Linked DNA regions of Arabidopsis thaliana. The protein of the gene in region 2 interacts with the protein of the main gene of each other region in a pairwise test. Each region holds a gene or a part of one and is shown on either strand. Other genes may lie near its edges.

Region 1 (3,759 bases), on a different chromosome or scaffold from region 2:
AATCTTAGCGAACCAAAAGGGGACCACTCTGGACCGTCCGATGACACACATGTAGCGAGCCTGACCTAACATTGCCACCAAAAGTGATGTTAATATCCCAAAGCTTGCTCCTATCCCCACCACTTTCGTCACCCATTCCCAGCCGTTCGATCCTCTGAACGCCGCGGAAAACGGCGCCTCCGGATCTATCTGCGTTACAACAACACATGCCCCGCCGTTTTCAGCTTTAGACTCAGACTACGTGCCGTCTTTATGAAAACGGAAATATACAATAAGAAAATAATAAATTTGAAGTACGGACCAGATCGTATGGCAGAAGCATTGACATAGAGACTGCCATGAGACAGTAAAGAACGGTGACGATTGCGACGGAGCCGGAAACACCGACGGGGATATCTTTGACCGGATTTTCAACTTCTTCCGCCATGGTTGAAACGGCGTCGTATCCTATGTAGCTTAAGTAAACCATGGCAGCTCCGTTGAAAACTCCCGCCGCGCCGAACGGAAAAAATCCCGAGGGGTGCTCTGGATTCGCCGGTGAGGATAGATTCTTTGAATCTCCTTTTATGAATCCCATCACGATCACGAAGAATATGAATGCGATGTGAAATGCAGTCATTATCATGTTCACTTTGGAACTCTCTCTTGTACTGCAACAGATGATGACTGTGATTACGAGGACGACGAGAACTGCGACTGGATCAATCTCGTTGAATCCTTTCGGTAAACCGGAGACGACGAATCGCCACTTGGAAGTTGAGATCCCGAAAGCTGTTCCTAAATAAGCGGTGAAGCTTCTCGAAACGGCCGCGTTTGACATTACGTAATCCATTACAAGATTTGCTCCGGTGAAAAATGCTGGAAATTCACCTGAACGGAAATGTAACAGAAAAGAAATCAGTTACGGTTTTTGATTTTGAAATTAAAATTTTCAGAAAACCGTGAACAGATCGGAGGAGTAGTGATGATTTTCGCGGGAGACTAACCGAATGTGATACGGATGTAGCTGAAGGCACCGCCGGCGACCGGGAGATGGACGGCGAATTCGGTGTAACAGAAAGCGGAGAGGAGAGCGCAGAGCCCGGCGATGGCGTAAGAGACGACAATTGAAGGACCGGCGTCGAGACGACTAGCACGGCCGGTGGTGACAAAGACACCGGCGCCGACCATTCCCCCGATTCCGAGTCCAATGAGATCGTACCACCGGAGAGTACGGCGCATCTGTTCGCCGGAGACGGCGCGGACGCGACTCATCTCGTCGGAAGAGGTGGAGACGGAAATAGCGCGGCGGGATAAGCGAGAAGGCGTCGCGGAAAGAGAGTTGAGGTAGACGCGGAGACTGGAGAAAGAAGAGTGACCACCATTGTTGCTGCTGCTTTGGACCTCCATTTTCTCACCGGCCAGATTCGGGTCGGGTCGGTTTGTGTGAGAATTTTGTTGAATTTGACAAGAGTTGGTTTTATATTAGAGATTAGGAAAAGTGAAAAAGAGAAGGATAGGGACAAAGATGTAATTATGACGATACTTAAGGGCATTTAAATGTTATAAGTATTGTTATTAACAACAAGATTGTTCCCTAATTCTTATATTCACATTAATCACATAAGCATCATCAGCTCAAAAGCTTACTAAACCCAAGATGCTTTATCTCTTTGGTCCAATTACAGTTACATTTATATATACTAATTATGCTAACGCTTTTATTGATTCATATACAAATCATAAACTAGTTTGGTAGTATATAGTATGTATTCACATCTAGCTAAGCTTGTAAACTATTTTTGTTGACCATAAACCACTAAAATTGGTATTTTATTAAATATCATTAGACTGCTGAGTTGTAACAGAGTGGCATTTCCTATGGTTATCTTATTTTGTTTTGTTTTTTAAAAAATAGGAAAAAAATGAATTACGGTTTTTATTGAAGAATATTCTTTTTTTTTTACTACTTATCATTAATTGTTAATAACACTCTTTATTGTTTAAATTTATAGATTTGTACTCAATTATTTATATTTAAAAAAAATATCTCAACACTATAACACCATATAAACATTCTAATAAGATATGTTTTTAAACAACATTATTAGTATATTTCAAAATGGTCAAAATATTTCGAACCTGAGAAATGAACTTTTTAATCATAAATATGTCATTGGAGAATCATTCCCACATTTTTCCTTGAAATGAGGGTCTAAAATTGATGTTATTATAGACAAAATTTTGTAATTGCGTTCCTTGTAATTGATAGGGAATTAGTACTAATTAATGAAATTAATACCATAATTGTGTCTATGACTATGATCGGTTGTTTGAAACGTAACGACTCTCTGCTTCAAAAGCTCTTCCTTACTTAGTTCCCGAGGTTATGAAACCGTCACGGACGTTAAAAAGAAAAAACTAAACAAACGGCGTTAACTTCCGTATATCATAAGACACGGTAACGACGTTACCTCTAACGGCTATGTGTGGTTTAAGATTCACACGTGTGGCAAAGAAGGTGACACGTGGGATGTTGTTTTGTTTTCAATGGATAAGCACACAGGTTTAAAGCGAAGCGTGACCAGAATTTGAGGAAATGAGTTTTTGTAATTAGTTGGTTCTTTTCGACAATCTTCTCATTTTTTATAGTTGGCAACTTGGCATTACTAGGAAAATATTATCGCATATTTGCAGCTAATTAAGGTCTTCTTCAACTGATTTTGTCTCTGCATTTAAATGTTTTAAAACGAGGACACGAATAGTTTGGTACTTAGAGGAATAAATAACCGCAAATCTTGTGTTGGTACAGTTTGTAACTTAGTAATTTGTTTTAGTGTTAGTGCCGTGTTATTTGATAGTATGTGTGAGTGGTAATATGCATGAGTGAGTTCTTGAAAAAAAAGATGAGTGATCTGTTCTCTGTGATAAGGGCAACGCAACATGTTTGCAGGTTGTATCATGATCCTGATGAGTATTCTCCATAGAGAAATCGGCATTAGACTCGACGCTTTAAGATGAAGAAGAAGCAATGGATTGACTGATTTTATTTTCATGGGTCGAACTCGGAGCCTTTGATGCTGTTCACTGAAATCCAAAATCCAAAATCACCAACACCACCAACTAACCGCATGTGTATATGTAATCCAAAATCAACACTATTTTTACCACACCAAAACTCACTATAAGGTTAATTCGAATAGAACTCATCTAACCATCTATGAAACTTGATTAAAAAGTGTTGTAGAATGATTTGTGTATGTTTATGTAAAAGTTCTATCGCTCCCAATCATACCCGTAACTGGATACACGTTGCAATTGATCTTTTTATTTTTTGGTTGGCCGCGCACTGCATTGAATTAACACTACCTTATCCAAACAAATAGTATTAAATATCTACTTCAATCGAACACTCTTAAGCCTCTCTTTGTTCACAATAATGATAATTAGATTAGTGTCAGCAACGTTGACACATATTCGTATCTACAACACACATACGCATACATTTATATATAAATTAATTTCGACAAGAATAAATTATGACTTGTATGGTCACCAATAAGTCTCACATTTTTGGGTACACAAAAGAGTAATAATGAAATAAATAAAAAAGATAATGTGGAGTGGTTTATACAGTGAGTGGGATGGTCAAATCTGAATTTTAGATAAGATGCAAAATTCAGGTTGCCTCAATCCGACCACGTCTCACACGCCCTGTGCCAGACCTGCCCATCTCTGTTTTCCCTATAGTATTTTTTTCTAATTGAAAAATACAAAAAT
Region 2 (3,759 bases):
TTAACAAAAATTAGATATACCAAAATATTATTTTAGCTATTTTTACATAATCTATGATACTATATAATAATTTTAATATAAACTAATAATATACTATTTCCAATTATTCTTTGTAAACTTATACTAAAATTGTAACAAGCTTTTTATGAAACAATTATAATTTTAAAATAGATATTTTGGAAGTTGGAAATCTAACCTCTCTTGAAGGAGCAGGAGCAAAGGTAAGCATATGAGCCAATGCGGGGATGATGTAGACAGTGAAGCTAACTAAGAGAGATCCGACCGCGGAATTGATTGGTCCGAAAAAGGGGAAGATAATGGCTAAGAACCATATGGGTACAACCACGGGTAATCTAGCCATGGCTCTTTTGAACATGCTCTTCGTCTCATGCACACCTATCAATTTCTCCCACACAAAATATAACGGTGTAGACGCGAATCCGAACGTTATAAATTGATGAATGAGCATGAGGATCACTGCGGTATCTCTAAAACCAGTCTTAGGGAGAAGAGAGAGCGCATTGGAATGAGTTAGTAGCTTATCGCCAAACGCCCAATAAACCGCAGACGCGGATGGTAGCGTTAGCGTTAGTACATATATGGTCGCTAGTAGATATATCGCCTTGAACTTTTGCGGTTTCCACATAGCGTGCATTATCTCCCTATTATATTTTTTCAAATTTCCAATACATAATTAGTTAAGCCATTAATTAAGCCATTTTATTTTTCCAAACAAAAAAAAAATACTTACACTGTGACGGCGTGGCCACCAAAGGTGTAGAGAATGTTGGTGGCTCCGGTGAAGTAAAGCACCATTGTGGTTGGACCAGAGTGTTTCACATCCTCAGCCTTTTTTATATGAAAAATAAATATATTAAACAACAATAACCAGGACTATATGTCTATATCTTATAATAATCAAAACAAGATTTGTGTTAATTATAATGACCTGGCCATGAAGGAGTGAAGCAATGGTGAGATACCAAGAAGTGTAAGTGGTCATAGCGAGTCCGAGGAATGACCAAATTCTATAATTGTGGAAGGAAGGAATAAAAACAGTTGTTGCACAGCACGCCCCAAATATGTATGTCCATGTCCTCTTGTCCAATTTGTCATTAATATAATATATATTGCTGCAAATCATTTTTTATATTAATTAATTTTCAATATGAAAAAACCATATAATAAAGAAAATGAACATTGATTATTAATTTACCTAGCACAAGCAATGAGCTGAATAACAGATCCAAAGAGAAGAAAAGTGCAGTTAAAGATCAATCCAAGGTTCCTCCAATGTTTCCCCAACAATCCATCTAACACCTCAAACCACTTTTTTACACAAACAAAAAAAAACAAAAAGTTAAAATTCAATAATACCACCAAAAAAATAAAAAATTATAACGAGTCACAAGAATTAGAGGTGGAATAAAACCTGAATAACGTGGTTACGGAAATCGAATTTTTCTCGTTCTTTACGAGTTCGATATTCAACGTAAAGAACACTAATGAGATAAGCAGTCCAACTTCCCATTAATCCATAAAAGAGTTGAAACAAAATTCCCGACATCATCCCAAGTTGTGAGAACGAGTATGGTAATGTCAACAGAACTTGTGCCACCTGCCATTTTTATAACAATTTAGCTATAGAAGACGATACATACACATCTATATATAAGACTAAATCTGTGGGAAGTACATACCTGATTTGAAGCACAACTAAACCAAGCATCGTAGACAGAACCACCATGCCAGAAGAAATTAGAGAGTTTTGTTTTAGTTGAAGATTTCTTGTTACCACTTATGTTTTCTTCTTCCCTCTCCATTTCTAAGTAATTCCCTGCGACCACTGTCTCTATTTTCTCTGCCGCCATTTTTCTCTTCTTCTCTCAGTTTCTTTAGCTTCTTTACTTCCACTCTTTAAATAGACTAGTGAAAAGCTTTTTCATTTATTTATTTGTTTTATGGGTTTTGTTTCCTTTCTTTTGCTCTGTGTGCAATTATTGAGTAACGAGTGTCGGGGGACGAAGTCTTTAGTCACAGCTCACGAGTTGTCATGGGGATATCGGTTTATGATTGGTTGGTGACTGAGTTATGTCACCTACTTGTGACTGTTACTGTTTTCGGCGAGCGTGGCGTTGTTTTTTTAATGGGCTTGATTTGATTGTTGGGCTTATGGGCCATATTTCTGGAGCATTACACGAACGGGTAGGCCCGGTTTGAGATTGTTAATTATATATTGACCCCGATAATATGCAAAAAAAGAGGGTTAGCTAATTATAGATTTTAAAGTTTAAAGTAGTGAGAGTAGACTAATTGTAAATTGAAAATAGAAGTGATGACAATGATGTTTTTTTTTTTTGAAAGAAAGGCTAAACTATTATTATCATTAACAATTATTTGAATCATGATGATTGTAACAACTAGAAACAATGAATAAAACATATTGGTCCTTTCCTCCTTCTTGTGATGAGGATGATAACGATCTTTATGTAGAATAATCAATTATATTTCTAAGTTTTTATGTTTTGTCCGATTATATTACATAGCTGTTACCTGGAACTCGAAATTACATAAATTTATGCCTTTGTCTACCATATGGCATCGCACATCCAAACGCTTGATTTAGAAGTAGAAAAACTTGGTTAAAAGAGAGGAAGAAATAGTGATTTGTGAGGTAATCGAGGATTGGAGATGGATCCAATGGAAAGAATGATTGCTAATCAGGTGGGATTAGTGGTAAACATAATTACCACACGTGTCTAGCTGTCTAAGCTTTATTTAACTCACTAATTTCTTAGAAATGTCTCCTTTTTAGCCCCATACTTTTACAATGGATCGAATTATTAATGAGAAGGTATCATCATTTTAGATCTTTATAGCTTTTTAACCCGGCCAAAATGGATGGCAGCGGAAAGAAGACTCATCGCCAATTGACATTAAAATATGCATTTTCAAATGTTTTTTTTTTTTTTTTTTTTTTTGTGATTCAACCTTATTTAGGCTATTGAGATATCTCCAAAAGATATAATATTGTCGTCCCTAAATAGAGCAGATATTCAGATATCATTGGTAATAATACTGAAAAAATGGCGAGTCATTGTAGTTAAATAATTTGACATCTTGAAACCAGGAACTCGATTCTACTGGATGGTTACAGATGGTTCCCATAACGACAAAGATTGTGAGATTTGTTTTGATTTTCATCAATTTATCTTCGTCAGAAAATCTGTTTAACCAAAAAAAGGATCATGACTATACAAATTTATTAATGGTGTAATATTCAAAAAGCAGAATATAAGAATGGACCGAACAATTGAGATTGAGTTCGACATAAATGGGCCATATGATTCATTAATTAGGCCTAATATATCAGTAGGTAGATGAATTGACCCATGACATGAAGGCTAAAATAATCAATATCAACAAGATTATCCAAATTCAATAATAGAAGATACAAATAGACAGATAAAAAGCCACATACAGTATAGATCCTTGGCCATTTGGACTTTGATTACCTTAACAGCATCCCAAAGAATACTTGCATGAAACATCAGGAAACGAATAACACTAACTAACTCTTTCCCATATTCCAAAACAAGGAACCTTAATTATTTGAAAACACATATAGTACTACAACCGATTATTATAATTGTACCGATAGACTCTCCATGCAAGTTATTCTTTCTTCCTCCCTTAAAAAGCCAGTCTCACTTCAAGATCAGAAAATAACATTACATTTGATCCTAAAATATTTTCTAG

What was found.
Region 1: the proteins of LAX3 (region 2) and CAT6 interact in a protein complementation assay, tested with the Arabidopsis thaliana proteins (one large-scale study listed by BioGRID).

Annotation. Positions count from the first base shown.
Region 1 is NC_003076.8:1,376,748-1,380,506, reverse strand, and holds the start of CAT6 (cationic amino acid transporter 6), read right to left. Parts: upstream 1,887-3,759; 5' UTR 1,390-1,886; coding exon 987-1,389; exon of another isoform or gene 871-986; coding exon 302-870; intron 190-301; coding exon 1-189. UniProt on the Arabidopsis thaliana protein: Permease involved in the transport of the cationic neutral or acidic amino acids.
Region 2 is NC_003070.9:29,201,447-29,205,205, forward strand, and holds the start of LAX3 (uncharacterized protein), read right to left. Parts: upstream 1,973-3,759; 5' UTR 1,872-1,972; coding exon 1,701-1,871; intron 1,619-1,700; coding exon 1,433-1,618; intron 1,330-1,432; coding exon 1,217-1,329; intron 1,134-1,216; coding exon 950-1,133; intron 850-949; coding exon 752-849; intron 663-751; coding exon 197-662; intron 1-196. Other genes in the region: AT1G77700 (Pathogenesis-related thaumatin superfamily protein), read left to right, coding at 3,301-3,376, 3,702-3,759. UniProt on the Arabidopsis thaliana protein: Carrier protein involved in proton-driven auxin influx.